3 linked regions of the Mytilus edulis genome follow. The protein of the gene in region 1 purifies or fractionates together with the protein of each later gene. This does not show direct contact. Links are inferred from orthologs where the notes say so. Each region holds a gene or a part of one and is shown on either strand. Other genes may lie near its edges.

What was found.
Region 2: the proteins of tetratricopeptide repeat protein 4-like (region 1) and protein HGH1 homolog purify together in Homo sapiens (co-immunoprecipitation; 4 studies listed by BioGRID and IntAct, counting the BioPlex papers as one, with this or other methods). This does not show direct contact. The link is inferred for Mytilus edulis from reciprocal best matches to the Homo sapiens genes TTC4 and HGH1.
Region 3: the proteins of tetratricopeptide repeat protein 4-like (region 1) and erythroid differentiation-related factor 1-like purify together in Homo sapiens (affinity purification with mass spectrometry; 3 studies listed by BioGRID and IntAct, counting the BioPlex papers as one, with this or other methods). This does not show direct contact. The link is inferred for Mytilus edulis from reciprocal best matches to the Homo sapiens genes TTC4 and EDRF1.

What each region holds. Positions count from the first base shown.
Region 1 is NC_092344.1:7,120,759-7,131,728, forward strand, and holds the start of tetratricopeptide repeat protein 4-like, read left to right. Parts: upstream 1-6,074; 5' UTR 6,075-6,089; coding exon 6,090-6,092; intron 6,093-8,184; coding exon 8,185-8,340; intron 8,341-8,534; coding exon 8,535-8,643; intron 8,644-9,249; coding exon 9,250-9,411; intron 9,412-10,179; coding exon 10,180-10,257; intron 10,258-10,727; coding exon 10,728-10,794; intron 10,795-10,970. Other genes in the region: digestive cysteine proteinase 1-like, read left to right, coding at 1-181, 2,303-2,490.
Region 2 is NC_092349.1:53,184,572-53,195,431, forward strand, and holds the start of protein HGH1 homolog, read left to right. Parts: upstream 1-6,307; 5' UTR 6,308-6,320; intron 6,321-10,860.
Region 3 is NC_092347.1:49,865,705-49,876,520, forward strand, and holds the start of erythroid differentiation-related factor 1-like, read right to left. Parts: upstream 4,357-10,816; 5' UTR 4,244-4,356; coding exon 4,220-4,243; intron 1,092-4,219; coding exon 865-1,091; intron 1-864. UniProt on the Homo sapiens protein: Transcription factor involved in erythroid differentiation. Involved in transcriptional activation of the globin gene.

The sequences.
Region 1 (10,970 bases):
TGTAGAAAAGACAAAGTGACACCAATTGCTAAACTGAAGAACTATGTGAACATAACACAGTATGACCAACAAGCATTGACATTTGCTATTGCCCATATGGGACCAGTTTCTGTGGGTATTGATGCATCATATTTGTCACTGTCATTCTATGCTAATGGTGTATATTATGAACCAAAGTGTGGTAAGTGTGCTTCTATGCTAATGGTGTATACTATGAACCAAAGTGTGGTAAGTGTCATTCTATGCTAATGGTGTATACTATGAACCAAAGTGTGGTAAGTGTGCTTCTATGCTAATGGTGTATACTATGAACCAAAGTGTGGTAAGTGTCATTCTATGCTAATGGTGTATACTATGAACCAAAGTGTGGTAAGTGTGCTTCTATGCTAATGGTGTATACTATGAACCAAAGTGTGGTAAGTGTGCTTCTATGCTAATGGTGTATACTATGAACCAAAGTGTGGTAAGTGTGCTTCTATGCTAATGGTGTATACTATGAACCAAAGTGTGGTAAGTGTGCTTCTATGCTAATGGTGTATACTATGAACCAAAGTGTGGTAAGTGTGCTTCTATGCTAATGGTGTATACTATGAACCAAAGTGTGGTAAGTGTCATTCTATGCTAATGGTGTATACTATGAACCAAAGTGTGGTAAGTGTCATTCTATGCTAATGGTGTATACTATGAACCAAAGTGTGGTAATTGTCATTCTATGCTAATGGTGTATACTATGAACCAAAGTGTGGTAAGTGTCATTCTATGCTAATGGTGTATACTATGAACCAAAGTGTGGTAAGTGTGCTTCTATGCTAATGGTGTATACTATGAACCAAAGTGTGGTAAGTGTCATTCTATGCTAATGGTGTATATTATGAACCAAAGTGTGGTAAGTGTCATTCTATGCTAATGGTGTATACTATGAACCAAAGTGTGGTAACTGTCATTCTATGCTAATGGTGTATACTATGAACCAAAGTGTGGTAAGTGTCATTCTATGCTAATGGTGTATACTATGAACCAAAGTGTGGTAAGTGTCATTCTATGCTAATGGTGTATATTATGAACCAAAGTGTGGTAAGTGTGCTTCTATGCTAATGGTGTATACTATGAACCAAAGTGTGGTAAGTGTCATTCTATGCTAATGGTGTATACTATGAACCAAAGTGTGGTAAGTGTGCTTCTATGCTAATGGTGTATACTATGAACCAAAGTGTGGTAAGTGTGCTTCTATGCTAATGGTGTATACTATGAACCAAAGTGTGGTAAGTGTCATTCTATGCTAATGGTGTATACTATGAACCAAAGTGTGGTAAGTGTCATTCTATGCTAATGGTGTATACTATGAACCAAAGTGTGGTAAGTGTCATTCTATGCTAATGGTGTATACTATGAACCAAGTGTGGTAAGTGTCATTCTATGCTAATGGTGTATACTATGAACCAAAGTGTGGTAAGTGTGCTTCTATGCTAATGGTGTATACTATGAACCAAAGTGTGGTAAGTGTCATTCTATGCTAATGGTGTATACTATGAACCAAAGTGTGGTAAGTGTCATTCTATGCTAATGGTGTATACTATGAACCAAAGTGTGGTAAGTGTCATTCTATGCTAATGGTGTATACTATGAACCAAAGTTTATAGGTCTAATGGCCATGTTACTTAGGTTCTGAATTCAATATTCTTAGATTCATATATTGTCTGTCCTACCTTTGTTAACTGTTAATTTCTGTGGGTTTTTATTTACCAGAAAGCTCTTTATTTCTGTGCAAACATTCTATTTAGAAAAGGATATAAAGTTATTTAATACTTCCTTGATTTTATGTGGAACTCACAATAAAATATTTACTATGGTCCAAAATTTGCTACACATATCACTTGAAAGGTCCTGTTTATAGATAATTTAGATAATATATTTCTGGTATTTGCCACATACAATGTGTGCATTATAAGTTACCTTAAAAAAAAGTCTATTATTGATGTGCCTTTTTTATCTATTATCAATTAAAAATTATTGTATGTGCTATAACAAATTGTATCAATACAAGTAATAAAACAGGAAGCAAAGTGGCATGGTTTATAAGGCATTTCAAAATTTAACATCCTTGGTTTATAAGGTATTTTAGAATTTGATAAAAAATATTTGTTTATACAGCTGAACTCTAAATCAATGCAGATTTAAATGCATAGGTTACTTGGTTTTAAAGAGTAGAAATTATAAAAATAAATAAAAAGATTATCTATATCAAAAAGTAATAATTGTTAGAAATGAGAGTAACAGTAGGTTTAACTTTTTATATTTTTAGGAAATAAACCAGATGATTTGGATCATGCCGTTTTAGCTGTGGGATATGGGACAATGAATGGTCAAGCTTACTGGTTAATTAAAAATTCTTGGTCAACATACTGGGGAATGGATGGATATGTACTTATGTCTCAAAAAGACAATAATTGTGGAGTGGCCACTGATGCTACATATGTTGTCATTGAATAAACATTCATTTGAATAAAATGTATTAAATTTTACCAGAAACACAGATCAGATGAGCGCTTCTTCAAATCAAAGTTAACTGTGATAGATATTACTCTTATAGTACTGAATTGTACATGAAAATAGATTTTTTTTGTATAGTTGTTGGACATTAGATTATGACATAATCATAATCTTCAATTAACATGACTAATTTCCTTTTTTGTTTTTTGTTTGTTTGTTTGTATTAAATTTTTTTCGTTTTGAATATAGAAATAGGTGTATACAGCTAAACATGATACGCTAAAGTGTAAAAAAAGATGAGCAGTAAATAAATTTCTTTGGTCTTTTGGTGCAATATAAAACAAAAAGTTTTGTACAGGTGGATTTGTTACTTTTTCATTTTTTTTCAATAAAAATGAATATATCTTGCCATATGTTGTGTTGTATTTTTATTACAAGGTTGTTTTTTTTTGTGTAATGCAATTTTAGGTAGTATAGGGGTTATTATCTGACCTCCAAGACAGTTATTTTGAATACTTTGCCAAACTGTCTTTGATATCATTCAATTTTTAAAAACATAAAAATTATATTATACATCACCAAACTTATGTTTAAAACCAATCTGATGAGTTTAGTCCTTTTCATCTGATGTTTACAGTTTGTTCTTGTGTTGCACCTTTACATCACTGTCCCAGGTTAGTGGAAGGGGGTGCATTGGTGGAGAGTTGTCCCATTCACAATCAGACTACATCTTAATTTTGTATTGTTTCTAAATGTATACACTAGATTCTTTTCCTTTAAAATTACCATAAAAGGCAGATAATAATCTATTCCTAACTCTATAGGTTGTCATGTTGCTACTCTGCATAAGAAAAGGTTTGCATGCTTGTTTTACACTTTTCATTAGACTGTGTGTTAACAAGAGTGCATATACTGAAATGTCTTGCCTGCTTCACTTTTCATGTTTGAATTCATGTTGAAAGTCTGTATACATGAACATTTTTATAACAGTACCACATACCCTTAACATTATAAATGATCAATATAATTTAGGTTAATGTCATTAAAACCCTGCCAGAGAGTCTTGAACACCATACTGTCACACCAAAAACCAAATAAAGTTAGCCAATTGCAGTTAGTATCTGAGAAACATAATTAATTACAAAATTTGAACATTAACCTATGAACCATAAAAATGACGTGAAGGTCAGATGAACCCTGCTAGCCAACATTTAATACACCAAATAGTATTGCCATATTGCTTACAAAAGTATTTTAGAAACAAACAAAAATAACCTCAAAAACTGAGCATTGCCGAATGAACTATGTAAATGAGGTCATGGCCAGATGAACAGACAGACATGTACAACTAGAATAATTATGTACACCAATTTTAGTGGCCTTATGGCTGATAGTATCTGAGAAATAGATCAAACCATAAAAACTATATATTATTTAATGAACCATTCAACTTATGAACCTTTTCAGACAGACATGAAAACCTCATGATTATTCATTACACCATATGTACTTAACCTATTGCTTTTAATATCTGATAAATGGACAAAACCATGAAAACTTAAATTGACCAATGTACCATAATAATAAGGTCAAGTCGAATATATCACAACAGACATGTACACCATACAATCATTTCATAAAACAGAGTAGCCTTACTGCTATTGTATCTGACAAATAGACCGAATACGGAAAAAAATTAACTTTGACCAAACATGAAATGTACAATCCATAAACATGAGGTGAAAGTCAAATTAGTAACCTGTAAATAGTATTATCGCTATTTTGTGCATTTTTCCTATGATCTTTTTTTGTGATAATTTTCATATCATTCTACTCGCTTGAGATGGAAAATTATCGCTAGAAACTAAGCAGGCACGTGACGTTGCTAACGAAATTGACATGAAATTGACAAACGTCGTCATAGGTAAAATAGCGATAAACAGATTATCATTGATCATCTCAACTCGATTGCCTTTCTCGCTTTCGCCGTCCCGACTCAAGCGAGAAAATCAATCTCGTTGAGATGATCAACGATAATCTATAATTATCGCTAATTTGTGCATTTTTCCTTTGATCTTTTTTTGTGATAATTTTTTCATATCATGCTACTCGCTTGAGATGGAAAATTATCGCTAGAAACTAAGCAGGCACGTGGCTTTGCTAACGAAATTGACAACGTCATCATGGGTAAAATAGCACGTCCCGGCTCAAGCAATAAAATCAATCTCTTTGAGATGATCAAAGATAATCTATAAAGATACCAAGAAGACTGATCCGTAAGAAAAATTCAAAAATCCTTTATGAAATGGCAAAATCAAAATCTCAAACACATTCACTAGTAGTTTTATATTTAGCTCCAAACATATTTTGGTTATTTTATATGATATACCTAAATACAGAGAGCTCCTTCCCGATACTGAATTATACCAAGGATTTTAATATATGGGTCCTATATATATACACTGTATGATAAAGAACTAAAAGTGGCCATAGATCGAATAAAATGCTTATTTCTCAATAAACTTAAAATCTGAGTGACCAAAACTTGGAGAAATTTAGAAAACAACAAAATTTGGTAACTTAGTTTAAGAAAAAAATCAATAAAAGTATATCTTTAGAACATTGCTCTGCTGGGTCAAAATCATGCAAGTTTTGAAACAGTTGAACCATTTTTTTCACAATAAAGGGACAATTTGTCTTTTTCGAATCTAAAGGACGATATGGTAATCTCATTGTTCGTATACTAAAATGTAAATAACTTTACGTCTTTGGTTTAATTTCCATTGTTTTGTACAATTTAAATCAATCACAACATTTTGGTGTATGCTTTTGAAAGTATTACCCAGAATGCATTAGATTCTGAAATGGTGACTTGTGGAAGATAAGGATGGAAGGGATTTTTTTTTTACTAATATTGTTAAATCGCATTGAAAAGTCTTTGAACACCTTAAATAGATAAAACTAAGTTAATATACTGACAGTAAGCTAAAATATCAAATATAAAATATAAAATAAAATATAAAAACCAAAAATAAAAAAGGGGGGTTTACTCCACAAACACCTGTGTTTTATTTATAATGTTCCACTTTTATTTCCCAATATATATACAAGAGTTATCTTTTTGAATGGATGATACTACAAATAAAAAAATACATTTTCAATATATTAAGCTATAAAACGGCAAGATTTTTTAGAAAAGCTAATACTTGTATTATCACAGTGGCAGAATAATCAGACAGTTGATTGCGGCCGCTTAACTGGAAGAAGAAGATCACTAAATACGGAATATGCATATCCGTTACGTTACGCTGCCGGTATTTAGTATTCGTTTCTTGCTTCCTGTAAAAAAAATCACGTTTTTATATTATTGTTTTCATCTCTTCTGTAAGTTTCACTCCAAAACACAGAAAATGGAGCCTAGATAAAACATGTAAAGTACATGAAGCGATTTTTGATTTCTTTCAGTAGTTTAAAAGTAGTAGGGACATCATAAAGACCAAAATCGTTTTACCAAATGGTTTCCAAACTCATCACTGACACTAGTGACAGCAGTCGAAACGCAGGCACTTGTCTGTGAGGCGAAAACAGACTTAAATGTCATGGTGAACACACAAAAAAATTAAAATAAAAAAGTACACAAAAAAAACAACATAGAACTAAAGACTGAGCAACACAAACTCCTCCAAAAATCTAGTCCGAGATAATACACCTTATCGCTAATACCGGCTGACCCGGCCGCTTGAACTTTTGACGTCAACAACAGTCACTTTTCCATTGTGGTGTCAAATATTTTGCTTTATGACATCAAAATTTTACGGGAACCTGTGTGATATCCAGTAATGGCGGACAAATAGCGATAAGGTGCATACTCTGACGTCCAACGGCAATGGCTGTTTTGCCAGACAAGCTGGGGCCGTGGGACGTCAGAGCTCGTCCCATATCAAAGAGTGGATATTTGCCCACCCAAAATAGATGCGCTGCTTCCTCGCTTCTTGTGCCGACTGACGGCCTTGGAATTATATAAATCGGGCATCAATCTGTTCATTTTTCATTTATCTTTTCATTTATGTAAGTTTCACCTACCTGCCAACCTTTATTTTTCCATATTTTAACAGTTTTCACAGAGACCCATTGATGTTTGCATTTTGACTTTCACTTTCAAATGGAAGTCAAGTTACGAGAGAGTTTGTGGCCTCGAGACTCAAATATGCAAATATTTATATTTTTTCATCTCCTTTGTAGGAGATCGATGTTTAACATTTAGTAGCCAACCTCGATTTTTCACCTCCTTTACAGGAGATCGGTATTCAGCATTTAGTTTCGACCACGAGAACAATCGGAAGCTCTCAGACACTTATATAACTTGCATCGTAAATGAACGAGGTGTTACATTATGGTCATTAGCATAAATCATCACTGTTTTCTCGTGGTCACGTGATAATCTTTGAAAATGAAAGGCAAAATGCAGAAATCGATGGGTCTCTGTGGAAACTGTTCAAATATGGAAAAATAAAGGTTGGCAGGTAGGTGAAACTTGCATAAATGAAAAGATAAATGTCAAAAAGAAACAGATTGATGCCCGATTTATATAATTCCAAGGCCGTCAGCCGGCACCAGAAGTGACGAAGCAGCCCATCTATTTTGGGTGGGCAAATATCCACTTTTTGATATGGGACGAGCTCTGACGTCCCACGGCCCCAGCTTGTCTGGCAAAACAGCTGTTAGACGTCAGAGTAATCTCGGACTACCAAAAATCAACAGTGATTCCAAGTGCTCTGGAAAGGGTAGGAAAATCCTGCATCACTTGATGTGGCACCCGTACATGAAGTCCAAATAATTAGGACGTCTAGCAAGGCTATATTAATTATTTGGACTACTGTTTGTGTATTGTGGCCGAACAAACCCATTAAAAGTTGATTTCATTAGGTCACATTCAAGGTAAATAAAATTGAGAATGGAAATGGGGAATGTGCCAAAGAGACAACAACCCGACCATAGAAAAAACCCCAAAAAAAACAACAAGACATGGACATGATGAATTTGAAAAATTGGAACATATTGGTCGTCCTGTTCATCTGTGAAACAAACAATTCATAAAAAAGATAAAGGTCAACTAACTCTTTAAATTAAAATTGTCCATAAAATTTTCAAAGGGATGATTTGACTTCAAGACTTGGAACTCAATAGCTTCCTTGTATGCTGCATCCATCTATCAAGGATATTATGATAGGAAGTGTAAGATCTGGAAAAATTGTATTAACTTTGAGATTTATACATTTTGTACTTCATACACATGATGCATAGGCTCTGCTCAGCCTGCTGGATAGTTGCTACATAGAAATAGAAAGTTCACTACTGGGAAACTGAAATAATCTCTTTTTTTGTAAACTATTTTTTTTAATTTATTCATATAAATGATTAGGTAGAACTATTGACTCTAATTGCCTATAAAGTATCTGTAGAAACTTTGCAAACATGTACTGAGTGTTGTCTTTTTTAAATTTCATTAAACATATATGTTTTAAGAAAATTAATAACTTTTTCATATTCTTGTAAGAATAATTTAAAGATTGCATACACACTGCTGACAGGGTGCAAAAAAATGAGTGAATACTTAGTCAAACATTTTTTTAAAAGCATCACACCAATTCATCTTACATGTCTTAAGGATGAACATATCTTTTTTTTTTACAGAAAATGCCAAAAAAGAAAGTATGGACAGATGAAGAAAGAGCAGAATTAGCAAAGAAATTAGATTCTGAATTAGAAGAATATGTGGCAGATTGTATAGCCAAACAAAAGGAGAAAAATGAGAAAGAAGGAGAAAAAGAGAGTGACTTAAATATAGAAGTATGTGAGTCAACGCATTGTATTGTATTTTTTGCGCAGAGATTCTGCTTAATACAACCAATATGATATTTAATAGAATCAATAATACATTTTAAATATGACATATAAAAAAAAAGAATTAAAAAAAAAAATTAATGAAGATTTTGACCATATGTAAGTCGCTAAAAAAAGTTTATCTGTAATGTTTGTTTTAGGACATAGCAAATCATCCAGCTTTCATGACAGAAGTAGATTGGAGTAAACCATTAACACCAGAGTTAGAAGCTTTGATGAAACTCAAGTACGAAGATGAAAATCCAACAGGTTTGATATTGATATTTATCATCTTTTAAAAATATCTAATTTATTTGATTTCAACCTTTTAAATGCTAAATGAAAAAATATGAAAAATTCTTCTGTTGTCAAATAAGATAAAGCATTCCATGAATCATCAAACAAGAATACTTCATAAGTATTTCATGATTCTGATAATCATTGTTTACAATAAAAGGAGATTTTGAGAATAGCTTTTTATAAGTGATAATGAATGGATTGTATTTTGGTGCATCTATTCATTGCTTGAGCTTTGGTGGAGGAATGGACAACACATTTAGGTTGGACACAAATTTTATCTACTTGGTTCATAATAAAAATAAATAAAAAAAATTGATTAAATAGGTCAAAATAAAAAAGATGTGGTATGATTGCCAATGAGACAACTGTCCACAAAAGACCAAAACGACACAGACATTAACAACTATAGGTCACCGTACGGCCTACAACAATGAGCTAGCCCATACTGCAGAGTCAGTTATAATTTTAATGCATGAACAAACAGATTACAGAAAAGCAGAATAAAATCAATCTTTTTAGCTGGAGAAGCTGTTCATATTATGTCTTGTATAATGTTTATAAGTGTTATAATTTAAGCCGGAGCAGAAGCATATAAAATGGATGGTAACCATGAGTTTAAAAAGAAGAAATATGATATAGCTATAGACAATTATACAGAAGGAATTAAATTGAGATGTCCTGATAAACTTCTGAATTCTGTATTGTATACAAATCGAGCAGCTGCACAATTTCATAGAGGTATGGACAAATTTTTAATTACAGTTTTAAACTTATTATCTGCAAACTCATTTATCTCCAAATTCCTGTCTTCTCAAAGAAATTTGTCATACTGATAAACTTGAATGTATAGTCATCGGAATGGAATATGTCAATGTGAGATTGCTTTGGTTCAGAGATAGGTTAGCATTTAATTTTAATGTATGTATTTATTTGACAACAGTATTTGGATTTAGATATCAGATGCAAAAAATTACACCCTATATACATTCCCTCAATTATATAAACTGTTATGGGTATCAAGTCTCCTGTTTCATTTCCAATGGTCATATTTTACTTTCACATTAATCTGAAAAATGAAAATGAAGAAAAAATAAGCATTAAAACCTAAAAACCAACTGCTTCAAAAATAAACATTAAACTCTAAAAACCAACTGCTACGTAAATGATATTTTAACATTAGTGAATTGAAGTTATCTCCCTTTGCCCAGTTTGGTTAATTACATTATAAGATGCTGGCCATACCTGTAGAAAACTAATCAAATGAGTTACATCAAGTAAACAATGAAAGGAAATGTTTATAAAATAAATAGATTTTTGGTAGTACTAAATACTGAAAGTTCTCTTTTTGCATAACTAAAATCGACAACTGACGTAAGCAAGTATAAAATAATCACACATTTTTACCTTATTTTTTGTAGGCTATGGATATTATTTCAAAATATTACTTGAATAACAAATGGTTTGGTTTTATTACAACTAATAATTCCTTTTTTTCTAATTTTTCAGGAAATTACGGAACTTCCTTACATGACTGTATATTTGCCAGAAAATTCAAGTCAGATCATATGAAAGCTATTTTAAGGGGTATTCTTTTGTATTATTATTGTCTTAGGTTATGTTGGATTGAATATAGAAATGAAGAGTTGTAATATTATTGCCAATGAGGTAACTATCGTTAGACCACAAATTATAGGTCACTATACGTCATTCAACAAGGAGTAAAACCAAAATAGTATAGTACCCTCAAAAAGGCGCTGGTATGACAAAACTTGAAACAATTCAACAGAGAAAACCAATGGACATAAATTTAAAAAAAAAATAACAGCAAACAAAAATCCCTGAATGGAGGTGTACATCTCATTGGCAACCATACCACATCTTCTTTTTTTATATTTACAGTTCTCACACCTTGTGACTATTTCACAGAAAACAGAGAATGGGACATTTATGATACAACTATGCAATCATGTTAACTTTATCTTTAAATAAAATCTCATTAGTAACTCATATACAAAAATAATGAATAACTGAAGAACTGTTATTCATATTTACAGGTGCTATGTGCTGTTTAAAGTTAAAAAGATACGATGAAGCCAGTAGATGGTGTGATACAGGTTTATTAATATCCTTTTGTAGAGTGATAATGTAGTGTCCATCGTCATGAATCCAGTAAAATATACAAAGGAGTTGATATTTGTAGAATCTGAATTATACCTAAGTGAGAATGAAAATTAAAATATAAAAATATTTTCAAAGGTATTAATATAAAAAATGATTTAATAATCAACACGTTTGAA
Region 2 (10,860 bases), on another chromosome or scaffold:
GTTCAGTGACTGTGGACCGTGATATTGGGGTCAAACATCTAATATGGCATTAAAATTAGAAAGGTCATATCATAGGGAACATTTGAACTATATATTTCAAACTGATTGGACCTCAATTTCATCAAAAACTACCTTGACCAAAAACTTAAACATGAAAAGGGACACACAGACAATCTATCAAACGGACGATCAGATCAGAAAACATAATACCCCTCTACTATCGTAAGTGGGGCATATAAATTCTTGGTTTTTTCCTTAGTCAAAATTATTGTACGTGCATAGCACAAACAAATTTATTTAGTTTTTTGACACAATTAATCAGATTATTTTTATTTTTATTCTATATACCACTACTCTATTGTAATGAAAATGGGGAAAAAAAGAAAAAAATCTGAGCATTGAGAATATTTTTTTTTCAAATTGGGGATCAGTATACATTTTAAACAAAACACCCACGCTTTCTTCAATTAGTCAATTGTTCAAATTAATTTAAAGTTGATTTAGAAAAATATATTGAAGGCGATTTCAGAGGTTTTTCTATACTACTAGGCTGTTCTTGTAAATGAACATGGTTTAATAAATTGAGAATGTGTTTTTGGGCCGCAAATACCCGGCCTGTAACAATATGCACCAGAGGCAGTCAACTTCCAAATACAGATGCAGGATTAATTTCATTAAGGCTCTTATGTAATTATAAGCATTGTGTATAAATTTCATAACATTTAGTTGAATCAAACAAGAGGAAGAGAATTAAAGCAACAGATTAAGTAATTCCTTCATTTTATAAAAGAAAATAAGTCATGAATGGTAAAAGTGACGCCACCCAATTTTGAACATGATCTGTTTTTTTGTGGTAATAGGCATTGTATACCTATTCGTTTTATAACATTTGTTTGCGGCAAATTAAAGTAAGAAAACGGAAACTCAGCAATTTTTTATTTAACTTGTGCTATGGATAAAGACTGCATCTTTTTCTATGACACATTGTTGTGTAACTGTTTCATTGTAATTGGTTTCAATAGCCAAATGGTCTTAAGTAAATAACTTCTCTATCACTATCCTGTCAACACAAAGGTTGTGAATTTCAAAGCCTTTCAGTTTGACTATAATCTTAATTGACTGTCAATTTTACTAGCTTGGATCTTGGTTCTCTTCAAGCATTATTTTCTAACTCAACCAATAAAAACCAACTACTACGAAATAGTACATAATGCTGAAAGTGGCATTAAACACCAATTAACCATTGACATAAATCACACATGTGACAGAATAATTAAAAATTTCACACCTTTAAATGTTGTGTTTTTTGCACTCGGGGACTTGCTTTTAATATAGTAAATATTTGATACATGTATTGACAAAAATATTTATGTAAAGCATATAGTATTACTTAATCAAATAGCATCACCATATTTTCTTAATTCTTGTGCGTTTTGTACAGCAGCTGGTATTAAACCTAAACAGAAATTATAATAATTTTTTTTCAAGATTAGATTGATAGCATATGTAATAAAAAAATTAAAATCTAAAAGCCAACTTTTTCTTGTTATAACATATTAAAACTTGGCCTTAGTTTTCACTTGCTAAGAGCTATATATATTTGTTGGGTTGCTTTTCATGTCTAATAACCATACGACCATTAATTACTGGCTTATTGACAAATCATTAGTGTATCATTATACATTAAATGAAGTATTTTTTTCTGTAGCAGTATCTTTGTTTATTTGGCCTGTTTTTGAATTTAGTTGTTTTTCTGGTCTCTTTTCAAAAGTGCACATGTTTTTTAAAATATATTCTTTCATCTTAGAAATTCATCTAATTTCTATAAGGATAAACAAATACTTGTTTATTTTATCAAAAAGGAGGACACTTCATGAAAACGAATTTATTAAACAAATACAGCTGTGTTAAATCTGAGTCTGATGATGTTTTCTTGAAGAAAAAAAAAATGCCTTCAAAATATTTTTTTATATATTTCTTTTGTTGGTAGTTCTTTCTGCATTATCAGTGGCGCATCCAAAGGGGGGGGGGGGGGGGGGGTCCAGGGTTTGGAACCCCCCTTTGTTTGACGATCAATGCATTTGAATGGGAGCATATAGTTGGAATCCCCCCCTTTACTCTGGGTTGGGAACCCCCCTTTTTAAAATGGCTGGATCCGCCCCTGATTATATAGTAAAAAAATGAAGGTGGCATATTTAACTGTAGTATGTTGTAGTATGAAGTCCAACATTTACTGTCTCAACTCTTTGGTGATTCTCGTAAAAATAACACGCATCCCCGATAAAGACTCGTAAAGTAAAAGTTAAATAAGAAATATACTATAGTTTCTCGGGATATAAATAGACAGACCCTAAATAAGACAGTCTGACAAACAACTCGACCGTCTCCGTTTCAATCAGATATAACATAGACTCATAGAGTATGCTGTTTTAGTTTGGCGTAGATATTTCTTTATTACTTTTAACAATTCAAAGTAATACATATCCAACATACACGGCTTCTTTGGTGCCGGGCTGCCATACTTTTTGCGATGATTGTTTACATTTTTTGGCTAACACAAATGCCTTTAATTTTCACGGAATTACACAAATCGTTAAATGAGGAAACGTTACAAAGCACAACGGGCTTTATCGTGTTTCTGTCCCCTACCCTCTCATAACGGTACAGTTTATTTTACTGTTTGCGATAGATGTCGCTTCCGTACGAATAAAATATAATGAATAAAAGAAAGATTTTATGATGTATTTTCACTTACCTATTGCATCTGATGACTGATGACATCGTTTCACACCAGGACTGTCACAAATATCCTTTTTTTCTCCAAATTAAAAACCATCACCATAATAAACCATGAAATCATTATATACACTATTTACACACTGGTAAGACTCCTGAAAGAAAATATATATTGATATACTTAATATCGGCCTATTTATTACATTGCCGCATAATGCAGCATGTTTACAACATAAACTGTACGTCTGAACGAGGCTTACCATTCCTTTATAGTAATTTGAACATCAGTTTATTCATTGTTAAGGTTCATTCCGTGGACAACTTAACGGAATAAAGCGTAAATAGAAAATTGAAATTTAGCCTAACCTATTATGAGGTTTATTCCGTTAACATTGGCTATACAGGATAAAGTGTATAAAGGTAAATGAACTTACCTAATGTCTTAGACTTCGATGAACATAATGACGGACAGTTCCATCAATATATTCATAGCGACCCATTGTCACATTATAGCCATATAACTTATAACTTTTTTTTTCAAACAGTTTGAATAAGGCTTCTATGTGCCTTATGCCACTTCCATCCCTGCATAAGCCCATCAAATTGGCCCATTCTATCAGAAGCACTGGATTTAACCCATTGATATAACAAAATGCACAAAGAATAATTCTGTTCCAGTGCTTCACGTCTTTAGTCCAAAATATTTTTCTAATATTCTTTGGCCATAACTTTGCATCACCAATAACATCCTGAATTACCATCCAGGCATCACGTATTTCTTTGTTCCTGGACATGTTAGCAACTGAAGTTTAAAGAACAATATGATACATTCTAATGATTTTGATATCTACTCACCTATTGAAAGTCATCATCCGTGGACATATCATAAACAAAGGCTTGTTTACAATAGGGATTTTTTCCTTTTCCCTTTCCCTTTCTGGATGTACCTTGGACTTTGGAGGCTTTCTTTAATGGTTTGAAGCTCTTTGGGTGGAAAAGATGCTGTTCATCGTCAGTTTCCTCATCAAGAACAATAATGTCTGTTTGTTCTGTTGCTATAGGTGGGGTTGGGGGTAACTTGCGTCTCTTGTTTTTTCCTATGTTGGAAGGGCCTGGTTGGGCTTCATCTACAGCTTGCGGTATATGTCTCCTACGCCTCTTGGTGACATGAGGTGGTGTTTCTGATGGCAAACTCCTCGACATTTCGGCTTCTTGTATCTGGGGTGAATCCACCTGTTCTTCGTCTGATTCAATATCACTCCCTTGGATGATGGTGATGTTGTGTTCTTTCTCATCGTCTTTGGTGGGAGGGGTCCAGGTTTTAAAGAGTGGTCTTGAGTACGTAAACTGGGGTGGACCTTGAAGATGGTAAATACTCTGTAACAGATCAAAGAAGGCAGAGTACATATTCTGCCTGTGTGCATGGTTGCGCCACACGATTTCTGCTAAATGTTGCTCGAAAAGATTTGTATTGGAACCATTAATACGGCGAAAATGGTCCTTGGCCAACTTCCATGCCCCTTCTATCCTATTGGTACAGCAATGCACAATCTCACCAGTCTCATTGTTCACATACTTCTGCTTGAATGTGGTTTTGTGAACCACAGTAAAATGTTCATAACCAATTTGATTAAGAGTCTGGTATGATGCCCACGAGTCGGAATAGATACGGGATCCTGGCTTCACATGTTTCTGTATCAGAGGAATCAGAGTATTGGCAGATCTGTTATCGACAGGGTACATCACCAGTTTATTGGTAGATCTTTCTATTAAGCCGAAGATCCAAATTCTAGTACCCGATGGCTTCCCCCGGTTGTATTTCACCTTTCTTCCAAATAGACTCTCGTCTATTTCCACCTCACCTTCCAGGACAGTACTGCTGTACTCACGGTACACATGCTCACAAAACATTTCACGAATGTAACTGGCCCAATTCACGGCAGTGTTCTTATAATCCATGTTAGCAGTTTTTGCACTCATTGACAAACTATGTCCTTCTAAATAGTATTTCACGAAAACTAGGAGATCTCGGACATTGAAGGATGATCGTTCAAAGAAAGAATACTTCCTAATACCAAACTCGTGACCATTTTTACATCGAAATGTAAATCCATCTGGTTTGTTGCTTCTTTTGTTAATTCGGCATATTTGGGAACAAACTGAACATTCAAGATCGTCAACCAATAGCCCCCTCCTACGTAACCATTCGAATACAACGGGATTTGATGAGCGAAATAAATTGGTAAAACTCCAAATATTGCCAAAATCTTGAAAGCCAATATCAACAGCATCATACTTCTGAATATCATAACTACCTTCGCCGTGTTTTTTCCTACGCCGCGTGTCTTGTGCCATTTTGATCAATGAATACGTACCTTAAATATTTCGCATTTTATACTTTCATGACTTAAAAGTATTCACTTTCTTATATAATATAACTCTCTATTGTATACTGTCATGACTTAAAAGTATTAACTTTCTTAAATAGTATAACATTTAAAAAAATACACTATACCTTCCTTCAAATCGATAATATACCTGTCCAATATCTTGATTAAAATTCTATCTAAAGGTATCTACGGAATAAACCTCAGCGAATAAATAAACTGATTTCCAGTTCACCTATAATTTTTCATTGTAACCATCACAATACCAACATGTATTAGTCAATTCAATAATTTATTTACCTTTCAAACAAGGTATAGTTTAAACTATCCCGTTTTATTTTTAAACATTTATTTTTTGTTTTTCCCCCCAAAAATATCTATACCCCTTTTTATATATAGTCTCCCCAAAAGAAAACCCTTTAAGATCGTTAATTATTGAAGAATTATAATATATTTATTAGTTATCATTTTTAAAATATAAAATAGTACTGTATACTGATCTTGAATCTGTCCCGTATCTAAAATAGTAGTATAATTATACTGATCTTGAATCTGTCCCGTATTTTTAAAAAGATATAGATACATTATTGTATAATTTAAGTATTTCTTCTCTATTTCAGAAAGAAAAGAAGTATATACTGATCTTGAATCTGTCCCGTATTTTTCAATATTACTATCTACCATTGTATAATTCTTTTATAATTCATTAATAAAAGTAGTATATACTGATCTTGAATCTGTCCCGTATTTTTAAAAAGATATAGATACATCATTGTATAATTTAAGTATTTCTTCTCTATTTCAGAAAGAAAACTAGTATATACTAATAAATAGTAGTATATTCTAATAAATAGAATAAAATAAAAGTAGTATATATACTGATCTTGAATCTGTCCCGTATTTTTCAATTATTATATATACTATCGAATACTTGTATGTGACTTCGTCTTCTATTTTCTTATATATTTTTTCGACGAAATGAAGTGATTTTTAATTATTGTGTCTAATAATGCTCATAATACGGGATAGAATCAAGATTATACTAATACAGTCGTATTTAATATAATTTTCAATTTAAAATCTTTCCTTTATTCCTTTTTTCACCAACCAATCACAAGTGATGTTAAATCAAGGTAAAATTTCTTCAATCCCGTAAGGGAGAGAAACACGATATAGCCGCACATATATTTGAATCAAGTTAGTTTCTTGATAAGTGACTGTTATTTATTGTTGATAGTTTAATATATTTGCACAGTATGAATTCCCAACCCATTTAAAGCCATACAAAACCACTGGAGTTTGAAATCCTAGCAATAACTGTGTAAAAATATGTCAAACTCGACTATCACAGTCAGTAGAGCTTCTCTCGAAGTGCCTCTTCTCTTTGAGAGGAGCTCTAATGTGATAGTCGAGTTTTTGGCATATTACACCGTTATTGCTATGATTTCAAACTATGGTGACAAAACCACCCTAACCCTTACATTAGTCCGAGATTACTCTGACGTCCAATGGCTGTTTTGCCAGACAAGCTGTGGCCGTGGGACGTCAGAGCTCGTCCCATATCAAAAAGTGGATATTTGCCCACCCAAAATAGATGCGCTGCTTCGTCGCTTCTGGTGCCGATTGAGGGCCTTGGAATTATATAAATCGGGCATCTATTTGATCATTTTTCATTTATCTCTTCATTTATGTAAGTTTAACCTACCTGCCAACCTTTATTTTTCCATATTTTAACAGTTTTCACAGAGACCCATCGATTTCTGCATTTTGACTTTCATTTTCAAAGATTATCACGTGACCACGAGAAAACAGTGCAAATGACCATAATGTAACACCTCGTTCATTTACGATGCAAGTTATCTAAATGTCCGAGAGCTTCCAATTGTTATCGTGGTTGGAACTAAATGCTTAATACCGATCTCCTGTGAAGGAGATGAAAAATCGTGGTTGGCTTCTAAAAGTTAAACATCGATCTCCTATATATAAAGGAGGTGAAAAAATATAAATATTTTCATATTTGAGTCTCGAGGCCACGAACTCTCTCGTAACTTGACGTCCATTTGAAAGTGAAAGTCAAAATGCAGAAATCGATAGGTCTCTGTGAAAACGTTAAAATATGGAAAAATAAAGGTTGGCAGGTAGATGAAAATTAAATAAATGAAGAGATAAATGAAAAATGAACAGATTGATGCCCCATTTATATAACTCCAATGCCCTCAGTCGGCCCCAGAAGCGACGAAGCAGCGCATCTATTTTGGGTGGGCAAATATCCACTTTTTGATATGGGACAAGCTCTGACGTCCCACGGCCCCAGCTTGTCTGGCAAAACATTTCAAAACAGCCGTTGGATGTCAGAGTAATCTTGGACTACCCTTACATGTACCTTGCTGCAGAACCTTAGCTCTTAGATCCTTATGACAAGTTATGTTATTTTTTTGACTATTTGTACGCAAATAGGAAAAAAAATAACATAAGGACATAAGAGCTACAGTTCTGCACCTAACACCTACCCACTGTGGCTAGCCAAGGGTTTCGATAACCATGATATAAACCATAATTTACATTTCACTCCCCTTTCCGAGATTGTATAACCCTTGGCTAACTAAGATAACACGTGCACTAGTCATAAGGTTTCCAGTTATTTGAAAAACCCCTAGACCTACACTGGCAACAGTTGAAAAAAGGGGGGGTCTAAACACAGAAACAAAAATTGCAAAATTGTTGCACAGAAATATAATAAAAATGGGGAAAAACAAAAAAAATGACTATTAGACATGAAGACCCTGCCGTCATCTTTAAGTGTCTCATTGTATATATGATTTGAAAAAAAGAGTATTTAGGTATTTTATGCACAGGGCTCACGCTACCAGGCGACTTGGGCGAAGAAGTCGCCTTCCCGAACGTCACTTCGCTTTCCCCGACCCCCAAAAGCGAAAACAAGTCGCCCTGTTCTTGACGATACTCGCTTTCAGTCGCTTCCGTCATCGGACATTTTCAATTTTTACCAAGTTGATGAAACATCAATTTTTTATTGATAATTAAAGAAATTCAGACATAAACGATTCATTGTCTTTAGAAAAGAGGTTGAAGCATTGTCTTCGCAATGTGAAGCAGGTTATTTGATAAAAATACAACTTTTTATCACTTCGTGCATTTCCGCAAGTTCTTACTCGAAAACGTACACCAACCTAAATTTCGGCGGCAAAATAAGTTTGTTACTTCATTTAAACGTGATAAAAGTTGCCTCCAGTAAATGTTTAATCCATTTATTGCATTAAAAACGTTATGTTCCTTTCCAAATAACTTGTCAAACATCGTTTATTTTTGTAAATTTTCTTGCATTCGTCCGCCATTGACCGATTTCTAAACTACGGATCTAAACCGGACCAGCTATGACCGAAATCCGTACTTTTACAATAATTACTACGGACGCACGGATGGAACAGCTGACAGAAGAATATTGATCCCAAAAGGGAAAATTACGCATTCCACACGCATTAAGAGACTTTTGGTTACATCTAATTGATTGGTGTATATAATTCCCTATATTTTTTATGGATTGTTTCAAACTATTGATTAAAATTGCTTAACTCTGAGACTATTATACTAATATCAATATATTATGGCCAAGCTTAATAACTTTTATATTTTTTTATGAGAAACACTGAATTTCATACACAAAATAATTTTTAATTAAATTGTAATTGATATATTATAATTTCTTTACATTTTTAAAATTTTTTTTAGTGCTAGATATTTAGTTGGTAGTTTCTCACAAGAACCTTAGTAAAATTTAAACAACTTTTAATTTAAAATGTTAATTTAATTGTAATTTTTTTACTCAGATATGAATTGAACAATACAAAAAGAACATTATTTACATATGGCCCTTTCAGGGATGGGCATGATTACAGACAAATGTAATCAATTAATAATCGATTACATGAAGGATTTTTGTGCAATCGATTAATAATCGATTACTCAAATTTTAGTATGTAATCGATTACAATCGATTACTTTATCAAAAGTAATTACATTACTTTTCGATTACTGTCAATTACATACTTCAACATTTCAACAAAAAATAACATGAGTAAAACATAATTATATTGCTCAACATTTGTATATATAGTGGAAATTAAGATCTTTACCTAATGCATCATTCAAAGCATTGTTTCTAAATTATTAGTTAATAGCTGCTTTTTAGATCAAATCTCTTGATGAAAATTAGAAATATTTAAAAAATCTCGTAATTTTGACTTTCAACATATATGAAAGATGTCATCGCATTGCAATAATCACTTATTCATAACTAATTGTTTTTCAAAAAATTAGCTTTCTTACTGACACGTTAGCTTTTTTGTTTTTACTCTTTAAAAAAAATATTTTAGCATAGTTTATTACAATGTTTAAGGAAATATAAAAAAAAGTAGAATAATTAATTAGTTCAGCTAATTTTTAAGATCAAAATTTATTTTTATAATGACATGCATGTTTTAATACTTTTGTTTGGATAACCACCCTAATTACAGATTATTTAACTGCCACTGGAGTACAATTTATAACCTGGGGCTAAATATTGTAAATTTCCTTCTTTATTAGACATAAGATAATTGAAATAAAAACAAAGTATGTTTGTTATTGATTAGAAGACTTTGATCATCTCATTAGTAAAGGCAAGAATGTTGTTAACTTCTCCAATCAAATTATATACAAAATATATTTATAGTGTCAAAGGGATATATGTATCTATTTCTAAAAAGAATTGCTATGCATTGCCATTGGTTCATTGTTAAAAGGATTTTGTGTTCGTTTTTAATTTAATTTATATACATGTATATATATCATAACATTTAAGAAATCAACTGTTAATGTATTCTAAGCTTTAATTTCAACTCTGATTGAAAATGATGTTTTCAGGAAATTTAATACAAATAAGCTTACTACTTTTAAAAAATGTAGTACAGAACTTAACGAAAGACAGACACATTTCTTATTTAAGATCTATTTTATTTTTTCAATCTATTTTCTTATTTAAATATTAAAGCTCTTGAATTTTTGACAAGCACATACATCCATTTGTTTCAAAAGCTAGATATAAAGTAAATTTAGGTAGGGGAGGGATCTGGTTACTCATAATGCAGCTAGAGACAATAGATAGAAATAAGGCAGTTGCTTAAATCTCAAGTATTGTTAATGCATAATATTTTATCTGTACTACAAAGTGATAACATACATATTTTCCTCTGAAATAGGTTATTTTTCATCAAACTATTTTACTAAAGTAATAGAAATGTAATCGAAAAGTAATCGATGATTACATCCAAATTTTTGCTGTAATCGATTAAATTACGATTACATGTAATCGAAAATGTCTTCGATTACAGATTACTGTCGATTACTTGAAAAAATGTAATCAATTACAATCGATTACCATTACAGATTATGATTACCCCATCCCTGGGCCCTTTATACTATTGTAAAATCCAAACATTGTAGCGCACCGCGCGAATGAGCACTTCTCTTTCAAATCTCACCACTTCTCCCTATCAGTTTCAAAAAGAGAAGTCACTTCTCCCTATAATTCTGAAGTAGTGTGAGCCCTGATGCAGGCTATTAAAGAAGAGAGAAATTTATATCATGGGAACCAGTTCATTAATACAAAATCTAATTTTGGGAGGGAATAGTCCTGTATACTTTTTCAATCAAATGTTGGACAATCATAATAAATAAATAA
Region 3 (10,816 bases), on another chromosome or scaffold:
ACTAACTTTTTTTTAAAGTTTCAAGCTATGTATTGCATTAGAAAACATACATAGGTGTTAAAGAATGACTGACAAGGAGCCTGTTTAACAAAATACTATGGCTTGATCTGGGCGGAGTCTCTGATCTGGGTCACAAAGATGGCCATACGCGACGGCATAAAAGCAATTGCTTTAAAAATTGGTGAAATAGTTATTAAAAGGGCAATATATATAACTTCTGTAAGAAGTATATTGACAATTGACACTGAGGCTAAATAGAAGATCTTAGTCTTGAAGATTATTTTGGCTGCTTAAAGTTCTTTTTTTTTTTTTTTTTATCTATTATAGTTTTCTAGAAAACATTAGACAAAAACACAAAATATTGGTAAAGCACAATTCCCATAAGGAGTCAACTGACAAATTCTGTCATTTACATTTATATGTACAAATGTATATCATAATTTTCTTGTGGTACATGAAAATTTAAAACAAAAAATATGTTTAAGTTAGTAGGCGAAAAAATAAATTGAAAGGGATGAAAATCTTGTTTTTTTGGTGAAAGAGGTGTAAAAAAAAACTTGACTTATTGCAAATACTCTTAGTTCCATGAAACCTCTTTCACCAAAAAAATAAGATTTTCATCCCTTTCAATTTATATTGTTCATTTAGCTGATAGATTAAAAACAATCCTTGGGAATGATGATCATGATAAATTGCTTGCCCTTTTTAAAAATCGGAGAAGACCCTATAAAAAGGACAAGCAATTAATCATGATCATCATTCCCAAGGATTTTTTTTAATCTAACAGCTAAATGAAAATTAACAGTATCATTAATATTACTGCATCAGGGGTTAATACCAACAAAATAGCACACTAAATATTACCTTGAAAATTGAGAGTGTTCCTTTTTGTCCCATGTAAAATCAAATATATTTTTCTCCATTCTTGAAGAGTTTCTCAGCCAATTTGATGGTGGTACATTAAGATTTGTAGAAGGTTGCAAAATTGAAAAGGCTGTTGACACAGGCACTGTTGAATGCTTGACTACTACCATGCTTTTAACTTCCTGGTTATCATCCTTGTTTCTTTTTACCAACTCTTTTCCTTTTGTCTAGAAATAACAATAGACTAGTTTATATAGAACACATACATGACATATAAGCCTTTATCATTTTCAAAACAAAAGACTGATATCACAAATCTGTTGAAAATGTACATGATATACTTTTATTACTTCATCCAACTCAATTGTTAAATAATCATTCCAAAGAGTTTTTAGTTGATACTGTTAAAAATATGTAAGGAATTTTAATTATCCTATCGTTGCCACATCTATCCTGATTCCCTGACAATGTCTATCCATATCGAATCCTTTACGCGCAATTCAGCGGTACGCGGCTCCTTTGTGAACAGATAACGGATCCTTGCCGTAAACATAAGGTGAGTTAACCTAAACGTTCCTTTAAAATTGTGTTTTATTCTGTCTAAACACTCTGGTCAACAAAAAACAAATAGCAGGCGAAATAAGCCAACTATCAAGGTAAGTATATAGATGTATTTTATTTCGTTAGCTAGTATGATTACGAAATAATCACTGAAACAAGGGAGTGCAATTGTATGAAATTGCGAAGTGATGTTGACATTTTCCAGACTTTCAAGCATTTCTTCCCTGTTTTTGCTGATAAAAGTACTGAATTGTATTAGAAATTGACGTTCTTTTATTGGGTAAAACAATCTACCGAAATTCTAATGTTCAGTCTTCTGAAATTAGTTCAAAATGTTATAAAATTTGTGGCAACGGATCTTTATGATCCGTTTCCAACACGGTCTTTTAATTCTATCTGGAGCTTATTGTATACTCTTTTATACTCAATAAAATGAAATGAGCAATTAAAAAATGATGAACTGTTTATTCAAATCCATATTGACAGAAATAACATGCATAAAACGCTGTTTTTTGGAAAAAACAAAGGTTATGTGAGACACTTGCCCACTTTTTCTTGTAAAAATAGCCTGTTATTCTTAAAACTATCTATAGTCATAAGAAGAGTGGATCAGTTTGACATTCTAAAGTTCCGTGAACTAAGAATTTAACACAAAATACCTCTCTGATTTGTTGTCATCCATAACTTTCTAACAACATCACGTTGTTTTTACGGCAAGGATCCGTTATCTGTTCACAAAGGAGCCATGTACCGCTGAATTGCGTGTAAAGGATCCGATATGGATAGACACCCTGACCCTTGTTTTCCCCCTTTTTTGCCCCTAATTGCTGAATGATTTGAGCCATAACCCCCCATATCCATCCCTTTGTAGTATGGAAACTTGTGGTATAATTTCAGGGAGATTTATACACTTAAACATAAGTTATTGACTGAAAACTACAAAAATGCTTATTTCGGCCTCTTTTTTGACCCCTCACTTATTGAAAGTTTCAGAAACCCGCCTCCCACCTTGGAGCAAGAACCCCAAAACTCAATTCCAGCCTTTCCTTTGTAGTAAGAAACCTTGTAGCATAATTAAAGAGAGATCCATTCTGGCATTCAGTTAAACCCAATTTTTTGCCTGTAATCTAGAAAAATGCATCTTTTTGGCCCCTCATTCCTAAATGTTCAGGGATATTAACCCCAAACTAAATTAAAGCCTTCCCTTCGTTATATGGAACCTTGTGGTACAAAGTCAGAGATATCCATACAGTTATACATAAGTTATTGTCCTGAAACTACAAAAATGCTTGTTTTTGACCCCTTTCTGGCACTTAATTCCTAGACTGTTTGCCCACACAACCCTTAAAATAAATCTCAACCTTCTACTTTATAGTATGACCATTGTGGTACAATATCAGAGCAATTAAAATACTTATACACAACTTATTGTCCTGAAACTAGATAAATACTTGTCTTGGGCACCTTTGGGCCCCTAATTTCCAAACCGTTGGGACCATAACCCCCAAAATCAATCCTAACCTTACTATTGTGGTAACAAACATTGTGTAAAATTTTTATTGGTTTTTATTAACTTATACTAAAGTTATTATCCGGAAACCATTCATCTTAGGATGACGCTGATGAAGAAGACGACGGCGTGATACCAATATACGACCAAATTTTTTTTAATTTTTGCGGTCGTATAAAAACATATATTCAATTTTTAATGTAATCAAAGTTTAATTTTGGACCCTTTGGACCTCATTAAAAACTGGCCCAATTATCAAAAACATGTTTAGATTCAAGCATATCAAAGAATCTCAAGAATTCAGACATTTTTACTTTTATTTTCAAAGATTATCACGTGACCACGAGAAAACAGTGACGATTTATGCAAATGACCAATATCTAACACCTCGTTCATTCACGATGCAAGTTATCAAAATGTTCGAGAGCTTCCGATTGTTATTGTGGTTGGCACTAAATGCTTAATATCGATCTCCTGTCCTATGAAGGAGGTGAAAAAGTATAAACATGATAAATATTTGCATATTTGAGTCTCGAGTTCATGAAGTCTCTCGTAACTTGACGTCCTTTTGAAAATAAAAGTAAAAATGTCTGAATCGATGGGTCACTGTGAAAACTGTCTAATTACATATGTATGAGAAATTAAAGGGCGACAGGTACATTAATGAGGGGGGATAGGAGGGGTCTTGATCCCGAAATCCCGGACTTGAAAAAACGAAATCCCGAGGTCCCGAATTTAAATAAAGCAAATCCCGACATCCCGAAATCCGAAAAAAAGGATTCCCGGATCCCGAAAGGGTCAATCCCGAAATCCCGATCTTAAAAACACCCGATCCCGGAGTCCCGATAAAGGTCCTATCCCCCCTCATTAATGAAGAGATAAATGAAAAATGAAAGAATTGATACCCGATCTATATAATGCCAAGGCCAACAGTTGGCACCAGAAGGGAGGAAGCAGCACATCTATTTTGGACAGGCAAATATCCACTTTTTAATATGGGACCAGCTCTGACGTCCCACGGCCCCAGCTTGTCTTGAAACACAGCCGTTAGACGTCAGAGTAATCTCGGACTTCCCACAGAAGTTTTCACAGTAGAGCTTCTCTCAAAGAGACAGAATCTCTACTGTGATAGTCGAGTTTGGTATATTTTTACCCCATTATTGATAGGATTTCAAACTCCTGTGGACTACCTATGGATAGAAACAAATATAAAATTTGCCTGTGCTACACTTGGGGGAACTTTAAGAGTGCAGAACTCAGCAGATCTCGTTCCCGTAGTCTTACCTTAATTTTCTCTGTGTTTTGCATTTTAGTCAGAAATTATTTAGGCTTATAGTTTCAAGATTTCGGACTAAGTCTGGAAATTTCCCGATTTCTTTAACTAAAGGGAGGTTATCATCTTCTCTATCATTAAAGTGTTTGAATTGATGGTGTATATTGGAACTTTTAAACGTTTTAAAGATAATGAAAATTAAGGTATAACTCGTTTGTAATGTATAAAAATACTCCTGTTTGCTAATGAACCTGCAGCCGGGGCGTGTTTTTTTTATCTTCGGTAGTGAACCAGAAGAGGTCCTTTTCTGTTTTTTTTTTGCATTGGGAAGATCTTCTGGCTCTCTTCCACCTCTTCTTTTTTAATAGGTGGTTTATACGACAGAGTCACAAAACTAATGACATTAATTAGTTTATGAAAGTAGATATAAGTTAGAATGTGAGCTGTGTAATACTGAAAAGTTTTTATGGTACGACAGCCTTAGTAGGACATCTCTGAATTGATTTATTGGTGTTAAACGCTAATTTCAACACTCATAATTTGGCTAGTGCTCAGTTTAAATCAATAGATGAGGAATGAGGAAGGAAAGAGTTCATTATTAAAATTGAGAAAGGAAATGGGGAATGTGTCAAAGCGATAACAACCCGACCATCAATAGAGCAGACAACAGCCGAAGGCCACCAATGGGTCTTAATTATTGTTCATTTTAATTTGTCGCTAATCAAGCCTATTTTCAGCCCTTACCAGGCAACCATATTCATATACGAAATCCTCATTTTCCCTAACCCCATCAAATTAATACTGATTTATCTGATGTTTTTCTCTTATTTAACACAAGTTTAAATTGATTCTAATTTTTAACGCCCAGTGATAAATATTTCATGCATACCTGAAGAAAACACGAGAAATATAATTATATAAAAACAAAGATATGTGATATGATTGCTTATTAGACAACTTTCGACCGGAGTTCAAATGATGAAGTGGACAAAAATGGTGGATGTAAGCAGTTATAGGCAACGGCCTTCAACAATGACAGAACCCGATACCATATGTAAAGCCGTTTATAAAAGGCCATGAAAAGTGTGAAACAATTTAAATGAAAAACTATACATAACAATTGTTTTTACACAATATCAAATATGAGTTCAAACAATCGGCCAGTCAAAGAAGAAAACTAACAACCTAACCAACGGTACAAAATAATGAACGAAAGACAAGTAAGTAACACAGCAACAAACGACAAGTACTGACTTACAGGCTCCTGACTTGGGACAGGCACATACATATAGTAATGTGGCGGAGTTAAACATGTCAGCCGCGGATCCCAACCATCCCTTAACATTGGACAGTGGTGTAACAGTTCAACAAAATGTTTGTGAGCGCTCAATTCTCCCCGAAGCTGAAACCGTATAGTGTAGCAAACAAAAATGGCTAGCAAACCTACAGGAATCACCAAAAGCATTAAATTATCGTTTATTTAAAGATACTTTGGAGTTTGAGAAATATTTAAATATTTTGAATGACAGGCATATATCCTAATTTCGAACTTTGAACATGAAATTTCCAATACAAACTATTATAAATTGTTATTTGGATGGAGAGTTGTCTGATTGGCACTCACAAAACATCTTCCTATATCTATTTAAAAGATGGCAAAACATAGAAAGGGAAAACAGAAAATGTGTATTGTGTAATTCAGAGGCCATTGGTGATGAATACCATTATATTTTTTAATTATTCAGCTTTTGATAACTGTAGAAAACAATGTATTGCATTTTGCTATAGAAATGGACCAAACACATTGAAGTTTTATGACTTAATGAATTCAAAAAAATGTACAGAACTGAACGAACTATGTAAACTTATTAAGGAGATCAATAACAAATTGAACTTTTCTGGGTGAACAATTGTAAATGCCTCTATCTACTTTCGTACATTATTTATTTATGTAATTGTATTGAAATATGTATAATTATCTCTATACCTTTGTAATTTGGTTTGTGAGAATAAAGATATATAGTACAATATAAAAATAACCTGCACAAATCAGTTGCTATTAAATTAACTCAAAAGATCGGTACGAGACACACACACAAAACCAGCCAACTAGAATAATGCCAAGAAATCCTCGCTAAAAATTCCGGTCGACCCCCAACGGCAGTCATTAGTAGCTAAAGATTTGATTTCATTCAAGAAATTAATGTATGACCTTCAAGTACGTGTCGCTTAGAACACGGCCATATACCAAATGGTCAAAATTAATCATCCATGTAATTTGCTCTATGGGGTGTTTGCAGAATTTCAACGGAGGCAATTTCTTGGCAAGACCAATAAAACACGCCCCTGACTTTGTTTATTGCAAAAGCATTTTAAAGGGACAATAGCTGTAAAATTCATGTTCACCGATTTGACTAAAATTCTCATATTAGATTAGATTTAATATGAGGAAGGCGCTACCTTAAATGCTTAACAAGACTGTAGTTTTTGTCTTGGATAAAATGATTAATTACGAGATGTTTAGGGAACGACCATCGAACATCAAACTGAGGCGGGAGGGGGGATATGTTATTTCTCTTTAAAAAATGTTCTTATTCCCAAATTGAAACAAAAAATATTCTTCAAGCAGAGGACAAACAAAAATTTAATCCAACAGATTTTCCCTAGCCATACATTCATGTAAAATGCTTAAATTTTGATTTTTTTTATATTGGAAACGTTGACATGGTTGAATCGCTTCGCGTGAAAAAAAATATTACTTAAACAAAAACAAAAAAATACCTCCCCTCCCTTTTTTTGAAGATAAATGGTTGCTCCCTTATGGTCCATACTGTTTTCTTCTGAAAATGAATTTACACATTTCTTATCTTGTTCAGGTGTATCAATTGAAAGCAAGTTAAAAGCGCAAAGTTAAAAATCCAGTTCGGGATGAAAATTTCAGGAACTCTTTTTTTTACTCTCCCTTGACACCATTTGAAAGTATGTTAAGAGGAAACGATGATAGTCCGTCGGAAGGGGACGATAAATGGCTGACCCGTGTTAAGAGAGAGCCATATCTCTTGCACCGTTAAAGACACCCTTGTAGAGTTCGAAAAAGAGCAGGCTAATGCCGCTACAAGGCAGCACTCGCACCCGCAAAGTGGAAAGGGATAAATTTACAAAACTTGTTTCCCAATCCACTATAAATGAGGGGGGATAGGAGGGGTCCTGATCCCGAAATCCCGAGTTTAAAAACATGAAATCCCAAAATCCCGAATTTGAATAAAGTAAATCCCGACGTCCCGAAATCCTAAAAAAAGAATTCCCGGATCCCGAAAGGGTCAATCCCGAAATCCCGAGCTTAAAAACACCCGATCCCGGAGTCCCGATAAAGGTCCTATCCCCCCTCATAAATAAATATGTTTAAACTCAACTAAAACAAAAAGCGCAAATGCCCGAAGTGTTTCAATGGCAAATACCCATAGTTTTTGAAGTGCAAATGTCCTTTTATGTCTAATCCTATTGTCAATGTTTTTGGACAATAAAATATGTTTAAACTAATGTTACAGGTTAAAAAGCGCAACCTTCATACGCCTTGTCTTTCACGATAAAGAAAATGCGTTGCCCATGGATCTTTCACGATCAATTTTGATGAAAAACCAACAAACTTCAATGTTTTCAAAAACAAAATGAACGGTTTCAAGGGGGAAAATCTCACATTTTCCTGTACTATCTGACACACCAAATATATCATTATATCTTGGAATATGATCATTATATATGCAAAACGTTGATCATTATATATGCAAAACGTGTTTTTTTTTAATCCTCTTTATCCTATTGCACACTAGTATTATCTAAAAAGTTGAATACTTTTGACAGACGTAATTATTTTTTCCAAATTTGTTCCGCGTTTTAAAAAAAACAGTAGATTTTTCACAGATTTTGAAGTAAAACTACAATTAATTAGATTCACGATCCGAAACCAGGCCTTGCGGTCATAAAACTTTAGAGCACGATTTTTGTACTCAGACTCAAGAATCAACCAATCAAAACGGTGCTTTGCTTTTGGCATTTCAATTGCGCCAAAAGAAATCTTTCATTTGCGTCACAAACCATATTTCATTTGCGCCCAGGGGCGTAGCTGCCGTTAGGCACTTTAGGCACGTGCCTACACATAATTTTTTCACAAATATTTTTTTTTTTTATTAAAAAAAATAATAAACAACGTTATCTGTAGATGAAGTTGTCAAAACTCTTTAATTATCGAATGTCATGTGTACACTAGTCTCTCGTCCTTAGTGAATGGAATATTGGCTAGAATTGAATGTTTTTACGATTTTACCTTATATAGAAACTATAAACTAGAACTTTGGTTTAGATCATTTCACTTCTAGACTATCAACAAAAACTTGAATAAACCTCAACTTAGACACATGAGTTTTTTAATTAGCTGTTGTTAGTTTTCAACTAGCTTTCCACTTTGTCTTCACCCGAATAGCCAATGTTGGTCGTCCGTTTGGCTGTGCAGGATGTATAAATACGCAGTCACGTCTGGTCAGAATGGGGACATTAAATCCGATGCCTAGTTGTAGACACGGGGGGGGGGGGGGTCTCTTCCTATATAAAGGTATATACATATGTGCCGCTGGAATGGGTCCCTTTTTTGATCCGTCAAATATATCAATGGGGTGCAATTTTACGGAGGAAATATATCAATAGGTAGTAATTGACCGATTGTGATATATCAATGGGTCATAAATTTCAGTTTGTTGTGCAACGATCTTCACTGAATTTCCCAAACTCTTTGTCATTAAAATTTCCACATCTGCTGAAACTTATTTACACAAGTTTTGATATTGATTAAATTTAATTACACTGTCACAATTAATAATCTTCAGTAAATTACCCAGTAGATATCGAAAGTTCAATGTTTCATATAAATTAAAGTGTATTGTATAATTGAAAAGTGTTTTTGATGTATAATAAGATTGTATATGCATATAGGTACTATTTGAGCTGATAAATATATGAATGGGTTATGATTTCGCTGTGAAATATATGTATAGGTAGGGATTTCACAATTATTCAATATATGAATGGGGGGTGTTTTTAAAATCCCAGCTGCACACCTGTACCCAAAATCCCATGTTGAGACCCCCCCCCCCCCCCCCCCCCCCGTGGTTGTAGAGAGAATGCAACTCTTTGAGGAGTTCATACTTGGTCTACTGAAAGGCAAAATTTCTGCTCCTATCCAATAATCCCTCATTTTCCAATGCATGGCATTTTAAAATTTCCAGACCTTCGTCCTGGACGACACCTAGTTTAAACATATTTTATTTGCTGAATTAAAGCAAAATGGATTAGACACAAGTAAATCATACTTATGAAGTCTTTTCCATAATACAATATAAAGTTACAATAATAGTATAATATAATGGACATGCATATAAAACAAACAGTTTATACAATATAATACTAGCTTTCATAGGTGAACAAAGAGGAGACAAAGAAGTAAAAAAGGAAAAAGAAAGTTTGAAAAATCGTATACTTCTGTGACGATGACTTGTGGATTGATGGCAACGATGACGTCCTGTGTCAGCAATAATAACGCTCTATCAAGGCATAAGAAATCTGTTTGACCTTTTTACGTAATTCTGAACATGTTTGAAAATTTGAATATTTTGTTCGTTCGAAAGTTCCAAGTGTCCGCAAATTAATAGTTTTGTATCTAAAACAAAGTTTTCAGATAGCCAGTTAAGGTTATCGAATAAGTTTTTCCTACATAATGTGTATTTTGGGCAAACGAAAAAGTAATGGTAGACATCCTCAATATCGGACCCACAATGACAAGAGGGATCATTTATAATGTTAGCTCTAAATAGGTCATTGTTTAAGGATGAAGCGGAACATCGCAATTGCGTTAAGATAATATTTAATTTCCTTGGGCCGTACAAATAAAACGTTTCAATTTTACATACTAGACTATCGTTTTTTAATTCTTTCTTAAATTTAGAAATAGAGTCGACACTGCGAATTTTTGGATCAAGTTTATTCCATTCACGTATAGTAGAGGGAATAAACGATTCAGTAGTAAGGGAAAGTCTACAAAATGGAACAATAATATCTTGACCATTTCGCAACGGGTAGTTGGTTGTACTTTGTACACAAGGAGGTACAAGATTACATAGATATTCTGGTGCATGCTTTTGGTTCATGTTATAAAACATCTGTAATTTTCTTCTTCTTCTTCTTTCAAAAAGAGATTCCCAGCCAACCTCAGAATATAAAGTTTCAGTTTTTGTAAATATTGGTAGACCTGTTACTATTCTTGCGGCCTCCAATTGTAAATTTTCTAATTTATTTGAGTAGCCTATTCCACAATTATCCCACACTTCCGTGGCATATTCGAAAATGGGTCTAATAAATTATTTCGAGATAATCGATATTTAAGTTTACGTAGAACATTTAAGTGTTTCTTTACACTTGTAATTATACTTTCAATATGATTGTTCCATTTTGCGTCACTACTGAAATTAACTCCCAGGTGCTTATGAGATGTACTTAAAGGTATATTTTTACCATTTAAGGAAAAGCTGAGGTCTGGAGTCTTAATATTTGAAAAAATC